2 linked regions of the Arabidopsis thaliana genome follow. The protein of the gene in region 1 interacts with the protein of each later gene in a pairwise test. Each region holds a gene or a part of one and is shown on either strand. Other genes may lie near its edges.

Evidence for each region.
Region 2: the proteins of KAT1 (region 1) and VAMP721 interact in a two-hybrid assay, tested with the Arabidopsis thaliana proteins (one study listed by BioGRID).

Annotation. Positions count from the first base shown.
Region 1 is NC_003076.8:18,742,982-18,749,094, forward strand, and holds KAT1 (1), read right to left. Parts: upstream 4,426-6,113; 5' UTR 3,581-4,425; coding exon 3,402-3,580; intron 3,247-3,401; coding exon 3,031-3,246; intron 2,947-3,030; coding exon 2,791-2,946; intron 2,696-2,790; coding exon 2,638-2,695; intron 2,484-2,637; coding exon 2,166-2,483; intron 2,010-2,165; coding exon 1,770-2,009; intron 1,688-1,769; coding exon 1,589-1,687; intron 1,514-1,588; coding exon 1,295-1,513; intron 1,220-1,294; coding exon 671-1,219; 3' UTR 529-670; downstream 1-528. Other genes in the region: AT5G46230 (hypothetical protein (Protein of unknown function, DUF538)), read right to left, coding at 1-43. UniProt on the Arabidopsis thaliana protein: Highly selective inward-rectifying potassium channel. This voltage-gated channel could mediate long-term potassium influx into guard cells leading to stomatal opening.
Region 2 is NC_003070.9:1,330,966-1,335,424, forward strand, and holds VAMP721 (vesicle-associated membrane protein 721), read right to left. Parts: upstream 2,687-4,459; 5' UTR 2,462-2,686; coding exon 2,272-2,461; exon of another isoform or gene 1,766-2,271; coding exon 1,624-1,765; intron 1,545-1,623; coding exon 1,424-1,544; intron 1,235-1,423; coding exon 1,172-1,234; intron 1,036-1,171; coding exon 892-1,035; 3' UTR 501-891; downstream 1-500. Other genes in the region: CTF18 (P-loop containing nucleoside triphosphate hydrolases superfamily protein), read right to left, coding at 1-121; VAMP726 (vesicle-associated membrane protein 726), read left to right, coding at 3,795-3,984, 4,367-4,459. UniProt on the Arabidopsis thaliana protein: Involved in the targeting and/or fusion of transport vesicles to their target membrane.

The DNA of each region.
Region 1 (6,113 bases):
CTGCTCCTTCTCTTTGATCTGATTTCGTTTCTTGAGACGACATTTCGATGAGATTTGTGGTGGTGACTTTTTGGGGACTTTTTGCTGGATTTATATAGAGGTGTGAGTTTTGGAATTGAATGACGAAATTGGGTCTGTGGAAGAGGAAGGAGAATAGTATTAGAGAGGGTAACATGGAAATTTCGTATAAAATGAGGTGGGACGCATGCAGTTCATGTTCGTGGAATAATTTATTTTATTCGTTGATTGAATATAAAATACATTCGAGAATTTCTTATTTTGATTTTTTTTTATTACAAACATGTTGAAGTGTTTAAATTTAAAATAAATCAAACTGAATATACGCTTAATTTTCTGAAAAAAAAATTTCGTCTTTTTAATAGGTAAATTTCTTAAAATCTTTATTGATAATAGAGAAAAATAAAATTTTCTTGATTTATCATGTGAAACAAGTTCAAAGCAGAAGACTCGTGTAGAATAATGTTTTGTGTTCAAACAGAACGGTATCAATGTATCATAGTCAAGCTGTGAAATAAGATTGTGTTTTTGTGTCAATTAATGTCAGTTTTGTATACTCTGCTTTTGATAATCTAGACTTTTCTATGAAACCGGGTAAAAATACATTATCTGCAGATATACATGCTCTATAAATGAAGTCGAGTTTTCAAACTCAATTTGATGAAAAATACAAATGATCACCATCCCAAATGACATCTAAATCATCAATCTCAGCGTTGTCCGCATTGGTGATCTTTGTGAAGTTGCAGCCTCCAAACTTCTCACTTGCAAGTCTTAGAAGCTCTTCTATGGATGATGGTAAGAGTATCAACTTCCCGTTCTTGCTCTCAGACATCATGTGGATGGTAACTCTCTTTTCTTCTCGTTTGCATGGCTTGATGATTTGGTTGCTTGAGCTGCAATATGGATCTTTTTTCGATGAATCGTTAGCGTAACTTCTTCCAGCGGTTTCACTACTTGATCTTTCCACTTTGGCTCTCTCTATCTTTTGTTCCTTAAGTATCTTCTTAACCATTTCAGTATCTTCCTTGTGAATCGCATCCATTAGAGCAGTGTCGGAAGTCGGATTCGTAACATCTAAACCATAGCCATCTTTTCTTGAATCTCTCCACTCTTCCCATCCCATGCTTTTGAAATCTCTGTTTTCGTGACCACTAGTATTCGAATCATCTATTGCTATTGACTGTTGCCCTCTAAGTTTCTGAAAGTTTTATAGCCAAAAATGAGTTTAGAGTTTGTTTTAACTATAGAAACATTTCTATAATAACTCACATACCATGAAGAGATTGTTCATGATGACTCGTCCATCGTCAGCATGAGCATGCATCGCACTCATCAGCGATGTTCTGCTTATCCGCAGTATTTGAGATAGCTCGGTTGTTCTTACTGTGAATGGTTGTGGTCTATAGTATAAAACTCCAACCTCTCCAAATGTTTCTCCAATTACTGCTTTCCCTTGAAACTGATCATGTCCATCAACGTAGACAGTGAAGTCCTGTACAATACACAATGTTACAAGATTCCTAACTGTTATTCACATATTTACATATAACCGATATATTTCACTCACCACTGCTCCTGACACCAGAATGTAAAGATCAGTAGGAGCTTCGTTTTGTAGAATTATATCTTCTTTTGGTGGGAAATACTCAGCGTCTATATCTGAAACCTTGAACATGAAAAGGTACATGGAGTTGGTCACCTCTTACATATTAAACGTTAAGAAAAAAGGTTAGAGAATACAATTTTACCAATTGAAAGAGGAAGTTACGAGAAACTCCTTGAAAGAGGTAAATGTTGTGAACAATGGGGAAGAATAAATAGTTTGCAATGCTTGACCGGATTGCTTTTGGCAGATTGTTCAAGGTCTCTTGTTGTTTCAAGCCCTCTGTTTTGAACTTTAAGCAAATGTGTGATAACATTTGATCTTGTATGTCATGTGGGAGTTGATTTCTTGAAGCAAACTCTGAAGCAGCTCTCACTGAATCCCTCTGTTTAACACAAAGCAATAAAGCATTACAGATTAGTAATACTCAATATTATTTTAGTCAACTTAAAATACTCAAAAGTACGTAAACCCCACGCTATTACCCGAACCTTTATCCGAAATGAACATGCCTAGACTAAAAGAAAGTGATCAAACTTACAAAGGTTCTGGTTCGGCTAGTCCAATGAACGACGAGGTTGGTCATATTTCCAATGAGGTAAGCTGTCAAACCGAGGTTGAACATCATGAAGAAAATGTCAAAAAGCATTTCTCTTGGGTTCTCAGCATGAAAATCTCCATATCCCGTGGTCGTTAATGTCGTAATGGACCAGTAAAGAGCAGTCACATATCTATTCCATAGACTTGCTTCTTTGAAATTTGGATACACAGCTCCAATCCATGTCTTTCTTGGATTAGGATATCTATCTGCAATCAGGTAGTTGAAACATCCAGCACAATGTATAGCGAACAAAGTGACCTGAGATCAACAAGCACGTGTAAGTCACTAGCTTTAATATGGTGTCCATTTAAAAGACAAATAAACCCTAAGAATAGATCACCTAAATGGACAGCCCTAAGCTTAAAATGCTTTATTATAAGTGAGATTAGTTTTGCTCTGTTTTGGAACTAACCGAAATGAGTTTTGTGCAACGTATCCAGAAATAGTTGAAACGGATATCTTTCTCAAGCCTGAAGCAAAGGTAAGAGTTAGTTAGACTTGAGTAAGCACTTTCTTAGTTAAACCCTAAGAAGAGTATGGTCTCTTAGTTAGCATAGAAGCAAACCTTGCAAATAGCGAGCTAACTCGCCGGAGACGCCATAACCTGAGCATGCTAAGAATTCTGAATCCTAGTTCGCTTCCGTTGTAGTTAAACAAGAGGCTTAGTGGCTGAAATGGTGCTGTGGAACAAACATCGAAAGCGAACCACGTCGAAAGGTACCTGAAAATGTTACAATTTCAAAACATACTTTGAGATTCTCATTCACTTATAAAAGGTTTCAAGTTAAGAAAAAAGGTTTCTCACCTTATTGCTATTTTCTTAGGACTGTCAACTAGAAGATAGGAGTGGCTATCGAGATAAGCGACGAAGAAGGTGAGAATAATATCAATGGCGAAGAAGCCATTAACAATGTTGTCGATGATGAAAATCGCGTCTTTTTTATAGGTGATGAAAGCAAATTGAAATGGGCAAATCCAAGCTGAGTAAATAACTAGTAATACTAGCCACATCTCCCACGCTCTGTTTCAACAAACAGAGGATTGAAAACAGAGTCTTTAAATATACTTATAACGTGAGTAAAAACAGAGTAGTTAAAACTACTTATAACCTGAATAGTTGAAAACATAGTTGAAAACAGAGTACTTAAAACAGAGTTTAGTAGATGAGAAAATTACCTGTAACGTGGATTAAAAGGAGAGATTATGTGTTTGCGGAGCTTAGTAGATTGGTTGATCCTGGCTCCAAGAGATGGTAGAAGATCGGCAGAGAGGAAACTACTCTGTTTTATGGTGTCTATATTGTATTCCTCGACGCAGAATCTTTCGAAGAAATTTCGAGTCCAAGAGATCGACATCTTTTTGATGATCTCTAAAGACAAAGAAACTGTTATACCTTTTTAGGCTTTCTTCTTGGCAAGGTAGTTATAAATAGTGATGAAGCTTGTGACAAAGCAACACGGGGAAACTTCTCTTTTCTTCTTCTGTTGGGACCTTTATGGCAACTTGTTGTGACCCATTTGTTATCTTTTTTTCTTTTTGGTTGAGAATTTGGCAGGGAAAGGTTAACGGCTTTAAGAAGACTCAGTGCACCATTAATGCTGCAAAACCAATATGGTTTCGATTCGAGAAGCAACAATGGTGAAGAAAAGGCGTAAAATGCGGAACGGAGTAAGTGTGAGATGATCAAAAATCTTGAGAGATGAGACAGAATTTAAGTGGCAAACATTGAGCTTTTGCGGTAGATATCATCATATTTTGTTTCTTTTTTGACACGAAAATATAAGATTCGAAAGAGGAGGAAGAAGAAGAGGAAACGCAATCTGTTTCTTTGGAGGTTTCTACTTGATGAGATTCATGACTATCAGACTATGGTGTGATGTCCACTTTCCTAGCATTTGAAGGTGGGAGTGATATATAGACATAGAGACACATATAAAGGAAGGAAGGTACGTTTGGTGTTTGGTAAGTGTTAATGGGAGGACAAAAATGGGCATGAAAATTATGGTGTGTTCATTTCAGGAATCCAGAAATGGACCAAGCAAAATAAAGAAAATAAAATGGCATTTGACAGAATATGTAAGGGGCCAGAGTATATTTTTTTTTCTTTCTTCGAAAAAAGTTTTATTTTCTCATCAACTATTCTTAAAGTATATGTCTCTATTTTATTTTCTAGTCCCCAAAACCAATCATAAGTTTATTGTACTCATTGCAAAAAAAAAAAAAAAAAAGTTATTGTTCTCATTTTGGATTGAGTTTTACTAAATAGCCATAAACTTGGAAGATTATTTCCAAAACACTCATATAGAAAATATAGTAGTCCATTTAATCTTTTTGCATGGGAAGTGAAACTCTAAGATTATTTTACCGAAACAGCTTATATAATGTATTATTATTATAGAAGCTACGTGAACTCTCCACGTGGATAAACCGAATCTAGGTAGCGAATGAGGCTCTCTAAACAGTGAAGTCCCAAACTCTCTTCTCACTCGGACACACTCGCTGGCTCGCAAGCAATATGTCTTTGTTGTGTTTTGACTTTGGTTTATACTTAGTACTTAGGAGAAGACACACCAATAGGAGATCTTCACGTGGTGGGTTTTTTCATGTGTGTACACTTGATTTCTTGTCCGTCCCATACTTCTCATTCCCGTCGGTATGGTGGCCCCTCCCTTCTCCTTCATGTTCTGATTCCATTTACTAATTTCTTATAAACCCTTTCTAGATATATGTATGTTTTCATTTCTCTAGTGTGCTAGACTCTTTATATCTTAATCTCACTAATAAAGGAAAAATACGTAATTTATAAATTTTAACAAAATAATAAACTTGATTTCTAAATTCTTAATTAAGAATTTAAAAATGACATCTTACTCATAGGAGGAAATATATGAAATGATAAATCCCATAAACTGTGAAAGAACAAATCTAGAGTTTAAAACACAACATGATAAAATATATATAACATGGCTATAAATATTTTTAACAAAAAGGTGATAAATTATAGATGAATTGTACATTGACTACATTCTGTGCAAATGAACATGTGCTAACCTTTTCTAATGCGGTTATAATTGACATGGGAAAACAAAAGAAAAGAAAAAAGAATCAGGAATTTTTTCTACAATAGGAACGAGAAATGAGAGAAAACAAATTGAAACAACTAAGAATAAAGTTATGAAAAATCATGGTTTATAATAAAACACATTTGTATACGAATATTGATTTTTTGGTAATCCTAAATATTTGACTAAACTTTTGTTTTCGTTCGCTAGTATAGAATGCCAAGTATAAATTCTTCAAACCTTTCCGCCAAATTTGTATTATTAAATCATTCCAAAGCTTTTTGTTTCTGCGTCGATCTGAGCCCGTTCGAATGTATCTTTCATGATTCCTTGTTGATATTTTGTTTATTGTCTTCCTGAATCCTAATATCATTATAGAAACAAAACAAAACAAAATAAAGTAAATGAGAGATTCCTAATATAAACATAACATGAGCTAACTTTAATATTATTTTCTCGTGATTAATTAGTTTTGCCAATAAAAGTTTTATATTAGGTTTTATGATCTAACTTACTTTTTAAAAGATGATTATAACTATTGAAAAATGAATTATTTCGGCTTTCAAATTTTAGTATTTTGTGATTTTTTTTTTGTTTTTTAATTTCGGTTATTCATATATTTCAAATCAAAAGGAATTACTGGGTTACTAAACCTTGCCTTAAAAGACCAGAAATCGTAAACTGCTTTAAGTTTGCTATTTGCTGTCTTCCTAGTGCAAGTGGGGTTGTTCATGTTAACTGTTTAAATTTAAGTTTAAGCTGTCACATGCATGCTAAGAGTAGTGTAGGGTCTAAAAATTTGTTAGTTATTTTTGTTGTTGTGGGC
Region 2 (4,459 bases), on another chromosome or scaffold:
CGTCGATTGGGTAAGGATATGGCGGCTCCTCAAAGTTTAGGTACTCATCTTCTTCTTCGTAGAAATGAGAATTGGCTTCTAGAAGCTCAAGCTCCTCCGGCAATGGGATATCGAATTCCATTCTCTGATATGATTGACCGTATCGGAATTTTGTTGGGATTTGGTGCTCGGTGAACAAAAGTGAAAATCGGAATCTGGTGTGAGCTTGAGCGGGAATGAGAGTGTTTTAGCGGGAAAGTTTTGGTTGCAGGATCTCAAATTAGGTTTTACGGCCCATTAAATATTCGGCCCACTTAACTAAAATAGCCCAAATATTTATACCATTGTGACTACAGATTGTTGTTTCTTGACAAGATGCTTCTGTATGTACTACTAAACTCTGTATTGGTTGCTCCTACTGATAGCAGAGTAAACACGTATGTTTGAACTCATAAACGACCCGATGGCCGACAAGATCTACTCAAGCGTTGCGGGAGGAGTTTGAACAAAACAACCTTGGTGGTCGGAATATGACGTACGTATATATATGTACTACCATCCCTAGTAACGATATAGAGAGGGCACTACTCTTATCTAAATTTAAAGTAACCAGCACACATCACGCCGTATAATCGTCAATACAATCTCAAATTTTTATCATCACCACCACAATGCAATCTTCAGTCAACAAAATCATTTAATAGTTTCGGATCTCTTGTCAAGTACTGACTGGTTCGCAAGGGATCAATGTCATCAGATGCAAGCAATATAGCAAATGAGTAGCATACATATATGTCTATCTATACAAAACCAATTCAAGCAGAAACATTAGATTGAAGATCGAACAATAAAAGAGAAGGCACTACGATGTACCGAGTGAGAAAGATCTCAGAAGTTTTGAATTTTCTGGGCTTAACACTTAAACCCATGGCAAACTGAGAGCACGATGATGAGAATCAGTGCGATAATGATGGCGAGCACTATGAGTTTTATCTTCATGTTCTGAAGCCACATCTTTCTTCTCATCTGCGTTCCTGTTGTTCTGAAATCTTGTGCCTGTGGCAGTTTGAGTTCAGTTAGACACAAGATATGGTAATAGGATGAGTCAGCTATGAACTCAAAAAGCATGTTCATCTTTGTGTGTGAGTGTAGGCAAATAGATGCAGGAGATAAGGGTATGAGAGAGTCTAACCTGTGAGCGAAGATTTTCGGTTTTGTCCACCAAAAGCTCAATTTTCTCACCACGGTCAAGAACCTGCAAATAATGAGTCGCATATGTAAGCGGTGTTACATTGGTAAACTGGACATTTCCCGTAAGATGTAATGCATTGAATTATTAGTAATTGATTTCACAGTAACTTAGTATGACTAGATGAGCTCTTTCAGATGGGTCAACCATAGATGTAAATATATACATTGAGGACAGAAAGGGTCAGATTCAAACCTTCTCAATGTTTTCCATCATTACACCCTTAACTTCTGACACTTGCGCCTTCACCTTAGCAAGCTTGCTAATCTCATCAGGATGATCCATGCAATACTGCATATGCTCTTTCAGTTTAGAGCTTCAAAGTTACCAAAAAGAGTCAGTCCACGAATATAAAAGAGAAGATCATCCAAATAGAAGAGATAATGAAAAAGTACCCAAACTCCTTATTCAAGCTGTTTGCTTGAGCAGTTGCAGCCTTTCCACCACCATATCGCTTGTTAAAATCTTCTTTTACTCTTTCCAAAAAGGACATGGGAATTTGCCTCCCAGCAGAATCAACCGCAACAACACAATAGGCTGTACAACAGGAACAAAATCAATCTCCTTGTCTTCCCTTACGGGATAATCAGGTGACATTGATTTAATATGAAATTGATATGGCTACAACAACTAAAGGATAGTCACAAAAGCTTACAATAAGACCCCAGATTTTCATTGAAAAATGAAGCCAGCCAAAACCCATGACCTAGGAAACTATACGCAAATAAAGCAACCAGTAAAAACCCTGTCTCAGATCAATGTTGGTGTTCTTCCACATAGTATCAACCAAAGCTACCACGGATTCTGTCCAAATCTGAGTGATTATACAGGTAAGACTCTACAGAGATTTATTGCGTTTAATAAATATAGATCTAACCCTAAAAGCTTGGTTCATGCGGTTCCTCAGTGAAATCAGACTACTCAGGATGCACAAATCCATACGAATCGATAGGTTAGGCAAATAAACCTAGAAACAAATCGAGGTAAGCACCGAATGGTGTAAGATTAAAACCTATGCATAGATCAAACGAAAAGTGACTTACTGAATCCATCTTCGACAAGGTAATTGAAGGTATGACCGTCGCAGTTGTAGGTGAACTTGTTGTTCGAAGACGGAAGCTTCTGGAGGCACTGAGCAGCGATTGAGGTGAAATTACCTTTGAAATCAGTGAACTCAACGAGGATCACCGTGCCGCGAGCTACGAAACTGTAGATCAACGATTGTTGCGCCATTTTTTCTTTACCTTAAATCTCCGATCCAATCGACCGTCTGATCAGAGAATTTTTTGGGCGGTCGCGGAAAAAAACTACAGATCTAGAAGACTATGAAAGAACAAAACGAGGACTAAAGTGGACATGGGAGAAGAAAAAGTTGAAAAGCGGGCAAGGGTAAAGTTGTCATTTAAGGTAGTCAGATTGGGTCAAAAATAGTATAAAACCTTGAATTTAAGGACTAAAAAAAAACAATTTCAAAACGGAGAGATCAAACAAATGTCGAGAAAGTTGGACCCGCCCGGATCCAGCCAAAAAGCTCGTGGACTCTGCCGATGGCACAAATTAGTAATTACCAACTTTAGGACAAGTTCAGGTCCCATGGTCGAAGAGAGTCTGTCTCTGTCTTCCTCAAAATATCTTTTTTTCCAAATTCATCATTGATCAGTGATTCCAGTATTAGCTCAGTTACGAACAAAAGGCTTAAACATAAAAACAAATGTTGTAATTAACCAAATTTCTTAATTCTTAATGGACGGGGGGAGCTCATAGTCATAGTATCTTGTTACAGCAACAAAATTCGAACTTCTACCGTTATCTCTTGTCATCTACAATTGCTCTGCATTGTTTAGAACCTGCTAATTAATTTGTTTAACGTGTTCCTAAAGATTTTGATCAACAATCAAATAATTGAAATTTAGGTAGTTAGGTTGTGGTTAGAATAGAAGGTTAGTGAATTGGAATGAAAGAAAAGGTTTGCAACATTATTTTAATTTTTTTGGTAGGAAGGTTTGCAACATTATCAATTGAACGTTCTTTTAAGTAACATAACATATAATTTATAGAAAATTTAACAACTCAAATATCCCTTACACATCGCAATTTTCTTTATAAAAAATCAATATATAATATATATATATATATATATATTTGTTTTTTAAAATGCTCATTGATAAACATTTCACATTTGAATTGAAAAACGAGCCACCGTGGTGTAAAAACATGAAGATACTATTATTAATTAGACGTGAATTATTTACCAAAATAAAGTTTATTAAGGCAATTTTCGACTATACAAATGATGAATTTTTCTTTTTATTTACTTTTTATATTTAAAAATTCAAAATTTGAACGTTACCAAAGGGAAAATAATGTCTCTGTTACTCGCGCAAATCCAGCGCTCTCATATAGTTTCTCTTCTCCGATCTCTGCGTCCTGCTTTCTCCATCGCTACCCCTCGTTCCCTTGTGTATTTTTACATCGCTTACTAATCTCTCTCATCAATTCGATCGGATTTTTGTGGTGTTCTTAGGTTTCGTTTTTTTATCTTTCTCTCATCTGGATAAAAGGAAGAATGGGACAACAATCGTTGATCTACAGCTTCGTCGCTCGCGGTACGGTGATCCTCGCCGAGTATACCGAGTTCAAGGGCAATTTCACCTCCGTCGCCGCTCAGTGTCTCCAGAAACTTCCGTCCTCGAACAACAAATTTACCTACAATTGCGACGGTCACACTTTCAATTATCTCGCTGATAATGGCTTCAGTAAGTCTCTATCTCCCGATCTGTGTCGATTTTGCTCTGTATTTCTCTGTTTATGCCTTGGTTCATCTGTTTTCTTATGAATGCTTAGTTTCGAAATCAAATGTTCGAGAACAGTGTAGCTTTGAATTTCGTAGGATATTCGTTGCTCTCGATTCTTGTGGCATTGTGTTATATTCAGATTTTCTTCTAATCAATGCCATGTCTTGATTGGATATGCAATCTGTTGTTTTCGTTCTGATTTTAATCAGCTTTATGCATGGCTTCTTTGGAATGTTTATTGTGAAGATTTTTATGTTTGGAAAGCTTTGGTTGTCCAATGCACGAATTTGCTTTAGTTGGAATGTGACAATAAGATTTCTCATTTCCCTCTGTTGTTATGCAGCCTATTGTGTTGTTGTTATTGAATCTGCTGGGAGGCAGATACCAATGGCTTTCTTGGAGAGAGTCAAGGAGGATTTCAACAAGAGATACGGTG